Linked DNA regions of Drosophila melanogaster. The protein of the gene in region 2 purifies or fractionates together with the protein of the main gene of each other region. This does not show direct contact. Each region holds a gene or a part of one and is shown on either strand. Other genes may lie near its edges.

Region 1 (4,687 bases), on a different chromosome or scaffold from region 2:
ACTTTATGGGAAAGTTTCATTCAGGGATAATTAGTGAGACAAGTTTGTGTAGAAGCGAACGGATGGCAAAACAGACGATGAACGGCGATATCGACTCCACCGCTTTCCAGAAACTGATCAATAATTGATAAACCCCTGAACAAATTTTTAACTCAAATTTTTATAATATTTCCTTTGGGCCCAAACAAAACAAATGGCTGTCATGTAGGTGGCTTCCGATAAATTCGCTCACTCGACCACTGTTATTAAAAATATTTATAAGTTAACTTTATGAAATAAATCTCGTTTCAACATCATCCGAAATTGCATTTTTGTTCTTCTCCCAGACAAAGGAATTTTAAAATAAATTAAATCTGGTGCGGCTCTTTCAATTTATTTTTTCGTGATATTTGGTTCAGCTAATTTGCTAATAAATGTAAATGTAAATGCGAAGTCATATTACTTCATATTCAAGAAGAAAATTCTGTTCTCTTCTTATCTTCATGTAAGAAATTCACATTAAATACCGTGGAGGTCTGAATATAAATATTAATTTCATTGAATAAAGTTCCTCGTTAATATAAAAATGATTGCAAACCACAGTTGCTTGTAAATAAGTACCATAACGATATCCATATTTTTGAACACCACACCCAATCGTCTAATTGTTTGGCCCAATCGAAGCGAAATTAAGCTCGGTGGAGGAGTATTGTAAAGGATAGGGGAATGACCGATTTCTAAGGAGCCACATAATTAGGAGCCAAAATAATTATTAATTAATCAAATACCTTTTTAGTCAAGTGGTATAAAAACCCTAAATATGGGAAATCTATCATGAAAGGTGCACTTTTAAAAGGAAGCTGACTTGGAATCACTTCACATATGTACGGCCATAGAGCTCAATTCATCAGCGGAATCTTTTCAGAAAATGTGGGCACGGTAATCTAACTTTTTAATGGTTAAAGAAAAAAGATTTAAATGGTTGTAATCAGACAATCGTAACTGACATCCTATTCTACGCTTCTAAACAGTGGTCTCCTGCTGTCACAACGCACTATTAGTGATCATCTTCAAAGCGTGGACTTCCGTTTACGATGATTTATTTACTAACCGGGAACAATACAAGAGTAAACTTCTTTCGAACTGTAATTTTTTCTGTCCGATCACGCAGGCTGCCTTTCTGCGTGCTTATCGAGCAGCGTTTTGCTTTCCAGCAACTTTTAATTACAGATTAAAGTTTCTTATCAGTCGTTAACTGCAATTCAGGAACGAACTTTCATATAAACATATTTTATACATCTGTTCAAAATCAAATAAATATACATGTGTAAATATGTGTATGCATATTTTAAATACCTATGTACCTATGCTTGCATTTGTAAGCATACTTTCATCTATATGAAAAAAGGGCATAAAAATGTATAACAAATTCCATTACAGATGTGTGCAAACATGGATTGCAAGTGACAATCTCTGCAAATGCATATATGTATGTATGTATGTGTGTACTTGCGCATTCACATTAAATTTGGAATGATAACAATTGTTACATCGAATTTCTCAATACCTATACATAAAACATAATTGCTTTAGAGTTACAACTAGTTTTCTTATTTGCACATACAGTTTGTCAAGAAACTGTTTACACACTGTGAAATAAGTTGAATTTTTGACTTTAAAGGTAAAAACTAAGGGTTCTTTGCTTAAATTAAACGCAATTTTTTTCTAAAATATAATTAATCAATATTTATTTTACTTATGAATCAAAAAACGAATTAAAAATATTAATTATACAAGAAAATAAACAACAAATTCCAAGTTTACACACTTTTGAGACTGTCAAGTATATAAATATCAGTTTTCAACATTTATAATCACAATTATACTTTGCATTTCTTACAGTTTTCAACACCTTTAAGAGGAAAACGTAATTTGCGATTTGTTTATTACTTTATTAGCCCAAAGCCATATTTAAAATATTGAAAAGGTAGATGAAAGGATTTTGTACTACTAAAGTAATAGAGTGATTCGAACAATATTTGCTTTTAAGTTACATTTTTAATGGAGACTGTGGGTGGTTTTGGTAACATATGGCTTGCCAGAAAATGCGGTGAAGTGTAAATTAAAATGCTTAATTGGGTATAATAGGTCTGGTAGGATGGCCAGAAGGGGGTGGTCACCCAAAACAACCAAGTTTAGAAGCAAGCATAAACGACCCTGTAAAGTATATATATATATATATAAACTTGAGCAGGATTTCTTACCAAATCGATCTGGGCATGTCCGTCCGTGCCCACACTTTTGAAAAATGTTTGATATTTTGCATTTTTGTTATCAGTCAGATTTATCAATCAGATTTTACAATCTACCGATTTTTACGTCGCTCACTGTCACGCCCACACTTAAAAAAAATTTTGTGATTTTTTTTCATGTTATTATTTTTCTGGTCATTTTCCACTGGTATATCGAGAAAATGTAGGTGAAAGACGGGAAATGGTACTATAGCGTCTACATTTTCTATATATTCTATATTTTATATCAGCCATTGTAAGTTGAGCACGTATTATGCAAAGCGATATATTTTTATTTAATTATATCTATATTTAATTATTCTTTATTTTATTTTTGTCTTATGTATTAGATGAAAATTGAGAGTAGGTAAAGGTACTAAGCTAGGGTCGAGTATGTCGAAGTCCGATTATAATGAGATTATATTAAATACACTCGGCTTTGGCCTGAGCACCCATCGCTGGTGATAAAGAATCGTTTAAATGCATGTCTCTCACAATGTGTCTTCATCTGTACTTGTTTCGCTGTATTTGTATTTATTTACAAGACATACACTTAAATACTATGTGGCACAATTGTAGATGTGTGAGTTCTTGATTTATTTGAGGTATTTAAAGTGAGTGTTTTCACGTAATCCGGCTTAATTCGTAGACAACGTTCATTGTATTCGAATCGGTTTAATTCGCGGATGGTCTGTGTGTTTCTTAATCTAAGAAGTATATACAAAGTGAAATTGGACCAGTGTTGGTAAAGGTAAAAAATACATGTAGTAAAATAAAAATGTGATACAAATTGTGGCGTTTGCTATTCCCAGGCTATCCCTAAGGGGCCCAGCGTAATGGCCAGGATGAAATACAATATCGCTTTGATTGGAATCCTAGCTTCTGTGCTTTTAACAATTGCTGTAAATGCTGGTAAGTGCTACAAGTTAAGCTAACCATAAATTATTGAAATCTTGATTTTTATCGAATGATATAGATTATGTAAACTAAATCAAAAATAAATGAGCCGATCGTGTAAAAACATGGTTTAACTACTTAAATCTCTTACAGGAGATTTAATTATGAATGATTTTCTCTACTTTACAAAATTACACTTTTTATATTATATTGACTATAATACTATAAAATTTATTAGAATACAAAACTTCAAATTTGCTCCAAAAAAGTCAAAGTTATAAGGATTTGGAATATTCAAAAAAAAAAAAAAAAAATCAAAGTTTGACAAATGCTGTTTTTGCCAGTTAAACCGCAATGTCCAACTGGATTCTTTTTCAGTAAATTGTTAAAAACGGATAGCAAGAGAAATTCTTTTGCCAATAGCTCCGTTAAAAAATCATATATTTCATAAAAATCGTTTGAGTCCCATCAATCAAAACATATAAAATTAGAGGACATTGCACCTTTAAAACTCAAAATCATTGATAACGATTTATAGACCTTATAGATGGTTCAGGTAAATACATAAGTGGTAAAGGGGGAACCCAAATTTTAAAATTCTTTCTGGTGATACTAATATTTATTTGGCGACTTGGAGATTACTTTTCCTTAATTCATTCTATACAAACATTTTCTTTTTAATTTTAGAAAACGCTTGCAATCTAGGATGTCCAAAATGTAAGTAATACAAAAAAAGTATGTATTTATATACTAAACAATTTTATGCCACAGCTGACAATGGACTTTTGAAGTACATACCCGGCAACTACTATGACTATTCCTTCGACAGTATTTTAACTATTGGAGCGAGTAGCGACGTTCCGAACGACTCAGATGATACAAGTCTTAAAGTGTCCGGATCTGCAAAAATTTTTGCGAAAGGAAACTGTGGGTACACATTACAGTTAAGTTCCGTTAAGGTAACTAATACAAAAGAGTCTGTGGAGAAAAAGATATTGAACAGCATTCAGAAGCCAGTTCAGTTTACACTGGTAAGTGGAATTTTAGAGCCACAAATTTGCTCAGACTCCAGCGACTTGGACTACTCTTTGAATATTAAGCGCGCAGTTGTATCATTGCTTCAATCGGGAATAGAAGCGGAACATGAGGTTGACGTTTTCGGCATGTGCCCTACACATACATCAACATCGAAAGTGGGTAACGCAAATATAATTACGAAGGCGCGGAACTTAAACAGCTGTTCGCATCGCGAGCAGATAAACAGTGGCTTGGTGTCCGGCAAAGTTAACGAAAAAGCTGGCATTACGTCTAGCCTGCTGTTGCAGGCAAACTATATAAAGGAGTCCAGGATTGTAAACCACTTAATTGAAAATGTTCAGCTGACAGAAACATATAAGTTTATTGGAAATACTAAAAGAAACTCTGATATCAGTGCAAAAGTAGTCACAATATTAAAACTGAAAAATCCAAGCGGTACCAAGGCAAACTCACCAGGAACTGGTTCTACTGTCAGAAGCCTA
Region 2 (5,010 bases):
CGGCGGCTGCTGCTGGGTCGCCTTTGCTCTTGCTCTCTTTCTCCCGCTCGCTCTCCATCTCTCTGTTTTCGTTTCGTTTTCCCTTTTTTCATACACTCTCTCACACAAACACACACACACACTCTCTGGAGGTGGTCGGCAAAAAGGGGGCGGGGATCGAAGCAAGCAAGAAAAACGAGCTAAATTGCATTTTCGTCGTCAACATCGCTCGACTTGCATTGCAACGAAACAGGGGCGCAGAAGGGGTGCGGAAAATTCCAGGGGGTTGGGGATTTTCATTGGGATTAGCCCAAGATCAGCGAACACCCTCACAAGCTTAGGATATACGGTCTTTGGGAAAATAGCCTAAAATTCTTCAATGTGACTTAGGAACTAGGATGCTCAGTATCCGTTAACTTTATTTGTATCAAAAATCATTTCATTGAAAAGAGTTTAATCGTTTAAAGATTACACTGGAATCCATATAGCACTATGCTCCATTGCGTTCTACACTTTCTGCGGGGTATCCCTATGGTCGTCACAATCCCCGCGCCAAACTTCCTCTTCCTTTTCTTGTTTTATCGTTCATTTACTTTTAAAAGCGAGCAACAACAGCAAAAACAGCCCACTGTATTGGTATTTATTGCCCTGCTCTCTGCTCGTTGGCTATATGCGCGCGCGTGTGTGTGTGTGTCTCTGTGTGCTCTGTGGAATGCACACGATCGACGCCAATGGAGCCTCACCTGTTCCAGCAGCAACAACAACTATCACAACTACAACAACAGCTACAACAAAGGCAGCAACAAACAACAACACACTCACATAATCCACTGCGAATTGCATGCTGGAATGTGAATGGAATCCCAGCGATTTTCCAGCGTCGCTGACGATGACGCCGCTGTTTGCTGGTTTTAAGCAAAAACAACAATCGCAACATCGCCAACAAGCACAAAAACAACAATAGTAGCAGTAGTAGTAGTAGTAATAGTAGTAGTCCGTCCCACTAGTGACTGCAACAACAAAGTTTTGCACATTTCGGAGTCGTTTTTTTGGACTTTAGCTTCGATTTCAGTTGCAAGTTTTGTGGGCTTGTTTATATCATAGCTGTGTACCATAATATTTGGAAATCCGATAGAGAATCGATGGTTTACTTCCATTCTATACAAAATAGTGTATGTAGAACTGAAGTCTGCTTTTGATGGCAAGTATAAAACCATTCAATAAAGTTGCTGCTAGTTTTAGCTACTAAAGAGTATTCAAACTACAGATAGCTGTGTCACACACATTCTGCATCTCATTGCAATTAAGTTTATGAATTTTCGGCTGGCTGCCTCCACAAAGGATGAGGTCTCGATGTCCCGCCCCTTCGTTTCTTGCTTTGTGCTTCGTGTTTCGTGCTTTTGCTTTTTCGCGAGCACAAACGGGCCGCCTGAGAAATTATTGTCGCACTGACATTGAAGTGGCGGCGCTGCCTCTAATTACAAATTACAATGGGCCGCAGTTACTTGTGCCACATTTCGCATTTGCATCTTGCGTCTGTGCATTTACTGTTCTGCTCCCGCGGATTTTCCCCATTCCGTTGATTGTGTACTCTAGTCACATGCAAATCGGAGGCAGCTGCTGCCCACGGTTGCATCAACACCGCGCATACTGTCACAAAGTTGATCTCTGCTATGACTACAGTGGCTTCTGCCTATGTGGGTTAATGAAGAATATGCTCTTCCATTTCATATCCATATGTGGGGGTTATTGTTACATATCAAAGTAGCATTTTGTGATTATTAGATATTTGTGTATGACTCATTCTTTTTGCTTAAGTCCATCAAATATGAAAATTAAATTTGTTTCTAACTGGAATATTTTCATAGTTTCAAATTGCAATGATTCAAAAGTTTCCTTTATAGTAAATATCACAATTCTACAATAGTCCTCGCAGTTTCTTTTAGTAGATCTTCACTGTATTCAAATCTTGCTCCGTTTTCGCCATGTTTTCCTTGTATTCCCGCAATTACCACTATTATTATTGTTATTGCTGTTACTCTAATTGTACTACTCTCAGTTTTCGTTGTTTAATGTCTTGTTGATTTCTCGAATTTGTAATTCTTTCGACACACGAATATCGCAGCCAATTAAGCGCTGTTTCAGTTGGAAAATGGTAAGAGGAAACGGGAAAACCGAGAAAAGTGCGTGCATACATTGACCTTGCCTAATGTCGTTGGCATTCGAAATTACACTGGAATAAAGTTAAAAATTCTACGAGATTGATAGTTTTCCATGGACACCAGTACCCTCCGCCAGAAAGAGAGGGAAGACAGAAGAATTTAATCCGATTTGTGTAGCAACCTCTCGCTCGCTCTCTTTGTCTCCTCCGTTCTCCCCCACACACACACACTCGCACGCAGCCGTACTGATTTATTCCACGAGAGAGCGAGAGCGAAATATGTAAATACAGCCTGTTGCATTTGTGTGTGTGCTTCGCATTTCGTTTTCAGGCACTTTTCCGCACATTTTTGATTGCTTTTCGTGCGTTTTCCGTGCAGTTTTCCTTGCTTTTCCACACAGGCAATTGGAAATGCACACCAACACACACATGGGGCGCACACCAGCGCAGCCACACACGCACTGGCTTACACACACACACACTCGCACACATTCAACAGATATTGCATTTTCTTTTTGGACTGGAAGATACGCAAATTCCAGCTGCAAACGTTGCATTTTCACCAGGCATTTTCCGCAATTACCTTCTTCGCGTTTTCCACGTTTTCCACGCAATTTCCTCGCTTTTCGCCTCTTTGTTCTCGCCTTTTTCGCGTTTCCCACACACGGCACTTATTGCTTTTCCTCTTTTTCTCCGTTTTTCCTTGCCTTTTGACGACAATTCGCTGATATTTGCCGACGTATTTTCACTTGATTCACTCGCGTTCGCAACCCATCACTTTTCGCGTGCATTCAATCGCATTTTTCAGGCATTTCCGATGCGCGTTTGGCTTAAATTTAGTAAAATTAATTCGTGGTTTTGTTGCTGCCGTCGTGCTAGATATGTTCACATATCGATAGACCGATATCGATAGACAGAGATCTAGGGAGGAGCAGCTGTACTTGGTCTGGCAACCACATCAGGTATCGATAGGATTTGACCGTGGTATATAAACATCGATATTATACTGAAAACAAATATAAAAATATTTCAGTGATCAGTTTATATAAATTTATGTAATACGACAGAATATAGAGAGCAAGTAAATGTTATCGGTTTTAACTTAAAGAACAAGACTTGTTAGAATTGTTAATGAGGTTTCAAACCATTTCTGTGTAGCACGTAGCATAGACGCAATCCTTTTCTCATATAAATAAAATCAACTGATTTCAAAGTCTTAATATTTTAAAATATAATGCAGAACATTGTTTTGAGTAAGAATGAAAATATTAACTTCCTGTGAAAAACAGAAGTTTTAAATGCATCAAATTAGTCGCCTAACTGCAAGTCAAACCAAATTATACAAGTGTTTTAGTTTGCCGCTCAGTTTTTGAAACCTCGATAAGGAAAACTCAAAGCTGCGTTCCAGAACAGCGCTATCGATAAGCTATCGTATCTGCATGGTTTTCTTTGGATTTCCTCAAATTTCAAGGCACTTTTCTAAGTTTACCAAGATGTCGAAAAGCGCGCTGGTGATTTTGGCTCCCGGAGCGGAGGAGATGGAGTTCATCATAGCCGCCGACGTTCTGAGAAGGGCGGGCGTAAGTGCTCTCAACCTTTCCATTAAATCACTCTGTTCTATACTTATACTTACTATATGATAGATCAAGGTCACCGTAGCCGGTTTGAATGGCGGGGAAGCGGTGAAGTGCTCGCGGGATGTGCAGATCCTGCCGGACACCTCGCTGGCCCAGGTTGCCTCGGATAAGTTCGATGTGGTGGTGCTGCCCGGCGGACTGGGTGGCTCCAATGCCATGGGGGAGTCCTCGCTGGTCGGTGACTTGCTGCGCAGCCAGGAGTCTGGTGGCGGACTCATCGCCGCCATCTGTGCCGCGCCCACCGTTTTGGCCAAGCACGGCGTCGCCTCCGGGAAATCCCTCACCTCGTATCCCTCAATGAAGCCCCAGCTGGTGAATAACTATAGGTATACCACCTCTTAAGTTTATTTTCCCATGATCTTCATCCCATTTCTTTTGATTATTTCTTTAAGCTATGTGGACGACAAGACGGTGGTCAAGGATGGCAATCTGATCACCAGTCGAGGTCCTGGCACCGCCTACGAGTTCGCCCTCAAAATCGCCGAGGAGCTGGCGGGCAAGGAGAAAGTCCAGGAGGTGGCCAAGGGTCTTCTTGTGGCCTACAACTAACATATTTACACTTATTTATGAAAACAGATTGTTTCAAGAGCAACTCATGCAAACAACAACTGAATTAAAATAAAATTATTCAAGACAGAAGTTGTGATTCAATTTTATATTTGCTATTTGAAAGAAGTTTAAATGGAGAGCTAGGAAATGGCATGTTGTTAAAGATATATTAAAGAAATTTATTTAAGTGAATTTAAATGTCATTATTTGAAGCAAACGGTTTTCATTTAATTAGTTTTGAGCGAAGTATAATTCTATCATAATGAATCAACTGAACTGCGTTAAAATAAATTGTTCAATGGGCTTTAATTTAATTTGTCATGAAATATAAATGCATATATGGCATGAAAAAAGAAACATCTATATTATTTCATTTGGTTATGACTGGACTATAAATGAAATTAAAAATGCATATATTAAAATGGGATGTGAAGCCAAATGGAAGTATTGCTGACGATATATTTACAAAATAGTACATTATTAATATATTTAGTTATATTCAATATTTACATTGATTAAACATTCTGCTGCATTTAATTGTAAAATTTTAAAAATAGCTGAAAGTAATGGCCTACGGTGGAATACCCCTACTGGGTTGGAGTCCCTGCACACCACAACCCGTGCCGCGAACCGTGGTTGCCGTCTCCGCTCGCGCCAAAAGGGACTAAGTATTTCGTCGCTAGC
Region 3 (6,104 bases), on a different chromosome or scaffold from region 2:
AGCATTAAGCATTCGAAAAATTTAAAAGAAAATATTTTGTATGTATGTGTTATAAGAAAACTAAACAAAATTCAAAATGTCACACGTATATGTTAATTACTCACGGTTTAGGCAAACAATTAAAATTTTGCATTTTCGCTACTTAATAACCGAATGTATGGTATGTATCACAACAAGCCACTAACCCACTGGAATATCCACAAAAGACTTTCAGATAAGAAGTATTAAGTATTTTATTGCATAATTTGAGACACCGTTTGCTATTGCATTGAAACCTCAAGAGGTCTCAGGAACACCCCAGGACATACATATGAAGAACACATCAATATACTTGTATCAAAATAGTATTGCCAACAATGGCTGCCAACTGTCGGAGATTTTAGGAATCCATTACATAGTTTCTAACAGATCCGTTTCGAGATCCTAGTACACTGCCATAAAAATGAAGAAAAAAAAAAGCCATTAGCTTGGCCCTCGTTTCGTATAAATGCATTTGTTTTCACTTCTGTCTATTTAAGATAATATTGTTAATTGGAATAAGTTGATTGCGATAGTTTGTTCTGGTTTTGTGCGCCACTCAGTCGAAGGTCGGAAGGTCGGTCTGCGCCGCGCCGCCTCTCCCAGCCACACTCCGTTCCGCTTATCCCATATACTGGTACGAAGCGCAGACGGGCTCCTGATGACGAGCGTGTGGCGAGGATTGCAGCGCCAGACGTTGCAGGTGGCAACCGCGGCAGAGCAGGCGCCCGTCCAGCGGGTAACAGCGTTTGTCCGGCTCATCGGTCAGCTGCATGCCGCACTCCTCGCAGATGTAGCAGTCCACGTGGAAGTCCTTGTCCATCGAGACGACGCGCACAGTTTCGTCGGTGCCCTCGACGGGTGTGATGCCTGCCGAGAATTGCCGACGATTGCGAGATTAGCATTGACGTATTATTCGGAATGAAGTTGTGAACCCACCTTTGCCGCAGCTAGCGCACTTGGGCGCAAACATTCGATGGTAGTCGTTGACGCAGTAGATCTTGTGGTCCACGTCCACGGTGAAGGGCACCCCGTCTAAGCACTCATTGCACACACAGCACCGGAAGCAGCCCGGATGATACGACTTGCCCATGGCCTGCAAGATCTGCAAGAGGGAAAGAGCGAGAGCGACGTCAATGTGAGTACAAGTTGCCCAATTAGAGTGGGATAGAAACGAATGGGGTGCAGTACGAACCATTTCCATGATCAGATGGCCACAGATGGCGCACTTTTCCGCCGTCTGCTGGAAGCCCGAGTACTGCAAGAGTGAATTCTTATTATTATTAATTAATGGCGTTGAAATCATAACAAAGCAAATGAAAAGGTAATTGCGTCAGTAACCAAAAATAACGATTTATAATCATAAATATAATAAAATTCAAACAACACAATACAGTTGGGAAAGTGTTTTCTCAAAATGAAAAGGAGTTTTTACGGGGAATATCAATATTTTTCAGTCCTGACTAAACTACAACTACAACTATCTTCTCACCATGTAATCCTCCTCGCAATAGACCCGACCATGCACATTGTAGAACGCCTTGCCTCGCAGCGCCCGTCCGCAGGAGCAGCAGATGAAGCAGTTGGTGTGATACAGATTGCCCATCGCCTGGCAAGCCTGCCCGGCACCCTTCACCTTCTCGCCGCATGTGTGACAAATGCCTAGTGATTGTAACCGATATTATTGTGAGTCAGAGATATTATGGTTAAGTGCTAACAATAAATACACACCAAAGTATTCGCCGTGCTCCTCGCTCTGTTCGATCTCCTCCTCCAGCTGGCGTGTGAGCTCTTCGATCTTGCGCTGCGCCTCCGTCGGGCCAGCCGGACGCGGCGGGGTGACGCTATACGGTAGCAGATTCTTGGTGAGACCTGATGGCGGTACAGAGTAGATATTAGGTCATGCTATTGACTTGGCTTGCAAGGCCAAGTGAAGATTAGTCAGCTTAGTTAGGAAAAAACAAAAATAAATATGCGGGCGCATTGTTGGGACAAACGAAAATAATTGAAATAAATAAATCAGGAAAAAAGCTGAAAAATTCGCGGTGTAAGCCAAATTCTTGAATGAAAAATGAAATCAAATTATAATAATATTTTTCTAATTATAATTCCCATCGACAAAACATAAAAAATTTGTTTGTTTAAACGATAAAATCGCAATTTCAATCATGGTGAAATGAAAATGAACGATATTGCATTCGAATCGGTTTCGGTTGTCATTGAATCGGTTCAGGTAAAGGACTTAAAATTAAACCGGTTAGCGGCAACCGTTTGACCAAAGTTTGTCGCCCCGCCAACCGGTTTATGATTGAGCGATGAGTGATGACACGAACGGAACCCAACCCCTTTGGAGAAACCAAGCTCAGCCCGTCATACCTCTCCTGGGTTTCAAGGCAGCATTAACGGCTGCGTGCAAGCATTTTTGATGGGGGAAGCATTTGGATTCATTAGTTTGATTAATACAATCTCGAATTGATGGTTGTTTAGTGATGGAATGTATCCATGTAGGCAAAAGTATGCATACATAGATACTGAAATATTATAATATGTTGCATGCTAGGCGAAATACATGTTTATGTATAATAAAAAGTACGTTGAAGGTGCTTTTTATTATTATTCCATATTTAAATGATAGCTTTAGTTTAGTAAAGTAACCATGCATCTTTAAATGGATCGATAGAATTTTTGTTCACTTTACTATATATAGCATGTACTCCACCTAAGCGATGCAGTATCTATTCCATCACTTAAAGTAATTCGCCATTTTGGGGACAGACGATCGTCAGTCGCTTACCTGTGCTGCCCTGCGAGGGAGTGGGTGATGTGGCCACCGCCAGAGGAGCCGTCATCGCAATGGGCGTCGCCCGCAAGGAAGCGGTGGATGTTGGTGCTGCTGGTGCCGCTGCTGCTGATGTCGGTGCATTGGATGTGGTTGGTGGAGCTGCCGTGGCCATGCCCATGGCCAGTGATGACGTTATTATTGGTGGTTCCTGGACAGTTCGCTGGGCAGGGGCTCCCGTTGCAGCCGCCCTGCCGGTAGCCAATCCTGCTGCCGTATTCCTGTGCAGATTCGCCGTCATGCAAACGTAGTCAGAGCTATTGATGTCCTCTATATAGTTAGGATTAACGGAGACATTAATGGCGCCGCCGGGCGACTTAACGGGCGTGTGCTGCTGCAGTTTGGCCACCGACTGCGCGGTGGGTACGGGACTTAGGTGGCTAGGTAACGATAGATTCCTATATCGTTGCGTTGGCGATCCCAAGGAGCTAGAACTGGCCGTGTTGCTGCTAATGCTTCGCTGGTGCATGGGCGAGGCCAGCAGCGCATTGAGATCCAGACCGGCGGTGGACGAACTGCCTGAGGAGTTGGACGTGGGCTGCATCTCCTGATACATGGTGGCGGTGGCCGGCGAGGCCTGTGGCTGTGCCCGCTGGCCAGAGTGTGGAATGATGTTCTCGTATATGGGCGCAGCATGCTCCTCCAGATCGCCAGTTGGACCCAAAGCAGCAGAACGTCCCGATGGTGGTGGTGGTCCTCCTGCTGCTCTGGTCGTTCCCAACGATGCAGATCCTTGATTCTCTGGCACCGGCGTGTGTGCAAAGCGCCCAGCCCGAATGGGCTGCATCAGCAGATAGCCGTTCAATATGGCGCTCTGCCTGCTCCCGGGACTTTGAGGCTGAGCCCTCTTGTGGTTTGAATCGAATTGACCGTAGAACTCCAAGTTCTCATATACCGGCGAATGCTTCTGCGGTGCAATCCGCTGGCCCAGAATCTGTGCGGTCGGTGCATAGATTTGTGCACTTCCGTTGTGCGTGTGCTGTATCTGCTCCACCGGACGGGGCGTGGCGTATTTGGAGGCGGCAATGATGTTGCCGCGCTCGTACAGCTTATAGTCCTGATTGTGATGGAGTTGCTGCATTTGCTGCATCTGATGTTGCTGCTGTTGCTGCTGACTTTCCTGCAGGTAGTTCTCAATGGCGCCCGGTGAGCGCTGGTAGCTTCGCATGGCCACGCCCCCGTCTCCAGGGCCACCACTGCCGCCCCCTCCTCCAACACCAGCACCACCTCCCCCACCGATGTGAAGACGCTGCATCAGTGTCTCATAGTCGGAATCGGAGTTGCCGGGATTCCTCGCCTGCGTCTGCGTCCGCTGGGTGGTCATTCTGTCTTTTGATATATGTATATTTATCCACCAGATCCTGCTCCTCCTCCTTATCGTCTTCTTCTTCCGTCTCTCCTACTCCCTCGCCACACTTGCTGTCTCGCTCTGCGGGGGGGACGCCGCCCCGAAATCAACGATTGGCTCGCTTTTCCCGGTCGGAAAAGACCTTAGCTAACTGTGCTCGGCTAGTTGGCAATCAGTCAGTCGGCTTTTCCTTTATTCTATCAGCTTTTCTGCATTTTCTTTGTGCGCCTGCATTGGAATATCAAAAAATTCGTACAGTTAAGTGTGACCGCCGCGGGTTACGTTTATAATATACTGTCCGGCAGGCAGGCGAATATACCACAAAATATACTGCAGCTCAAAAGGGCCACTCTAAAATATCAAATACATATTGCATTGCATTACATTGTTTTTTTTTTTTTAATCTAGCAACGTTATTATTTAAAATTGTAAATTTAATTACAATTCCACTTAGTTATTTTTTTAGCTTGCAATAATTTTAATCCATTTAAAGTCGGGATTTTGAAATATTTGAGGTCTAAATTTCAAACATTGAAATTTTAATATTACTCTTCTTGAGTTTTTAACTTATATCCACTATTTTTACTTTTGAACCCAAAAGGTTAGCCAAAACTACAATTTTAGATCCCATAGCTCGAAATATATTATTATTTATATTTATATATTATTTACCTTATGATTATTTTTAAATAAAAGTTGAATGAATGGAAGTTTCGTGTACAAGTTTTGTATATTTAAAGGTTTTGGTCTGCCGCGTTTACATTTTGGTTAGTACAGAAACATTTAAATTATGTATATAACTAGCGTATATATCTGCGTAATTTGCATTAAGTTAGCATAGGAAGCCACAACAACGCGATGGAGCAGATGTACCGCATGGACCAGACTATGTGGCGTTCATGTCTGCAATGGAGCACGTCTGGTTCACCTTGAAGATGTTGGACAGCTCGTCCAGCAGTGTCTCATAGCGATAGGCCACACGGATCTCTGGCACATTGGTGCGCGTGATGTCGTTGCCCATGATACCGTCCTCGTAATAGATGGGTCCCAGCCACTGCTGTTTGATCTGTGGATGAAATCGGAATTGGAATCATTTGTCCGAACATAAAGCAGAAAGCATGCTTGGAACTCACGGCATGTGGGAATCCGCTCATCATCACACTGTTCCTGGCCAGCTCGCACATGTCGCATGAGCTGAGCTTCCACACCTGTGCCGCAATGCTGTACTCCTCCATGAGGGGTTCCTGAAAAGCGGACATGGGTTAATTTAATGCTGAATATTAAAGCATATATTGTCTAGCCCACCTTGGTGAAGTGGAATTGCAAGGGATCATCCGTGGAGAGGGAAATGATGAGGCCACGGGCCAAATACTCTGGCAGCGGATTGCGATGATAGTTGAGGAACAGGGAGTTGTTCGACAGCGGCGACATGGCGATGCCAATCTGGGTCAGATAATACAGATACTGCAGCACGGGCACTTTGCGCAACAGGAGGCCGTGGGAGATGTTCTCGGCCATGAGGAAGCCGCAAACCAGATGCTGCACGGGTCCAGCCTCGCCGCAATGGGGCCGCAGCACAAAGGTGTTCATATTGCGAGATCTGATGTATCAAAGGTAACAGTGGGTTAATCAATGATATATATACATATCAATATACTTCTACGCACTGTCTAAACTTGTTCAGCACCGTCATGTTGGCGTACATATAGTAGATATAGTAGGCATAGGGCGGATTCTCCTCGTAGGTCCACTCCTCCGGACGTGGCACATCGTTGTCGAAGAGCGGATTCTCCGGCTTGGACTCATCGTCCACCGAATCGAATCCGATCACGTACTGCAGAAAGCGATGCAACTCGGGATGCTTACTGGGTCGGGCTGTCGCCTCGAAGAGCGGCAGGA

Evidence for each region. Proteins that work in one complex are often made in the same cells at the same time.
Region 1: the proteins of wts (region 2) and Zyx purify together in Drosophila melanogaster (affinity purification with western blotting; one study listed by BioGRID). This does not show direct contact.
Region 3: the proteins of wts (region 2) and jub purify together in Drosophila melanogaster (affinity purification with western blotting; 4 studies listed by BioGRID). This does not show direct contact.

Annotation. Positions count from the first base shown.
Region 1 is NC_004353.4:1,062,002-1,066,688, forward strand, and holds the start of Zyx (zyxin), read right to left. Parts: upstream 3,001-4,687; 5' UTR 2,822-3,000; intron 2,381-2,821; 5' UTR 2,244-2,380; intron 919-2,243; exon of another isoform or gene 677-918; intron 1-676. Other genes in the region: apolpp (apolipophorin), read left to right, coding at 3,107-3,182, 3,855-3,884, 3,939-4,687.
Region 2 is NT_033777.3:30,803,565-30,808,574, forward strand, and holds the start of wts (warts), read right to left. Parts: upstream 3,056-5,010; 5' UTR 2,724-3,055; intron 1-2,723. Other genes in the region: dj-1beta, read left to right, coding at 3,634-3,720, 3,784-4,103, 4,170-4,326. UniProt on the Drosophila melanogaster protein: Negative regulator of Yorkie (Yki) in the Hippo/SWH (Sav/Wts/Hpo) signaling pathway that plays a pivotal role in organ size control and tumor suppression by restricting proliferation and promoting apoptosis.
Region 3 is NC_004354.4:13,825,830-13,831,933, forward strand, and holds jub (ajuba LIM protein), read right to left. Parts: upstream 4,489-6,104; 5' UTR 4,182-4,488; coding exon 2,813-4,181; intron 2,425-2,812; coding exon 2,395-2,424; intron 1,891-2,394; coding exon 1,750-1,890; intron 1,681-1,749; coding exon 1,511-1,680; intron 1,292-1,510; coding exon of another isoform or gene 1,277-1,291; coding exon 1,214-1,276; intron 1,124-1,213; coding exon 958-1,123; intron 889-957; coding exon 641-888; 3' UTR 501-640; downstream 1-500. Other genes in the region: AMPdeam (AMP deaminase), read right to left, coding at 5,092-5,271, 5,339-5,449, 5,511-5,805, 5,873-6,104. UniProt on the Drosophila melanogaster protein: Regulates organ size by inhibiting apoptosis and promoting cell proliferation by influencing the expression of G1/S-specific cyclin-E (CycE) and apoptosis 1 inhibitor (th). Negatively regulates the Hippo signaling pathway.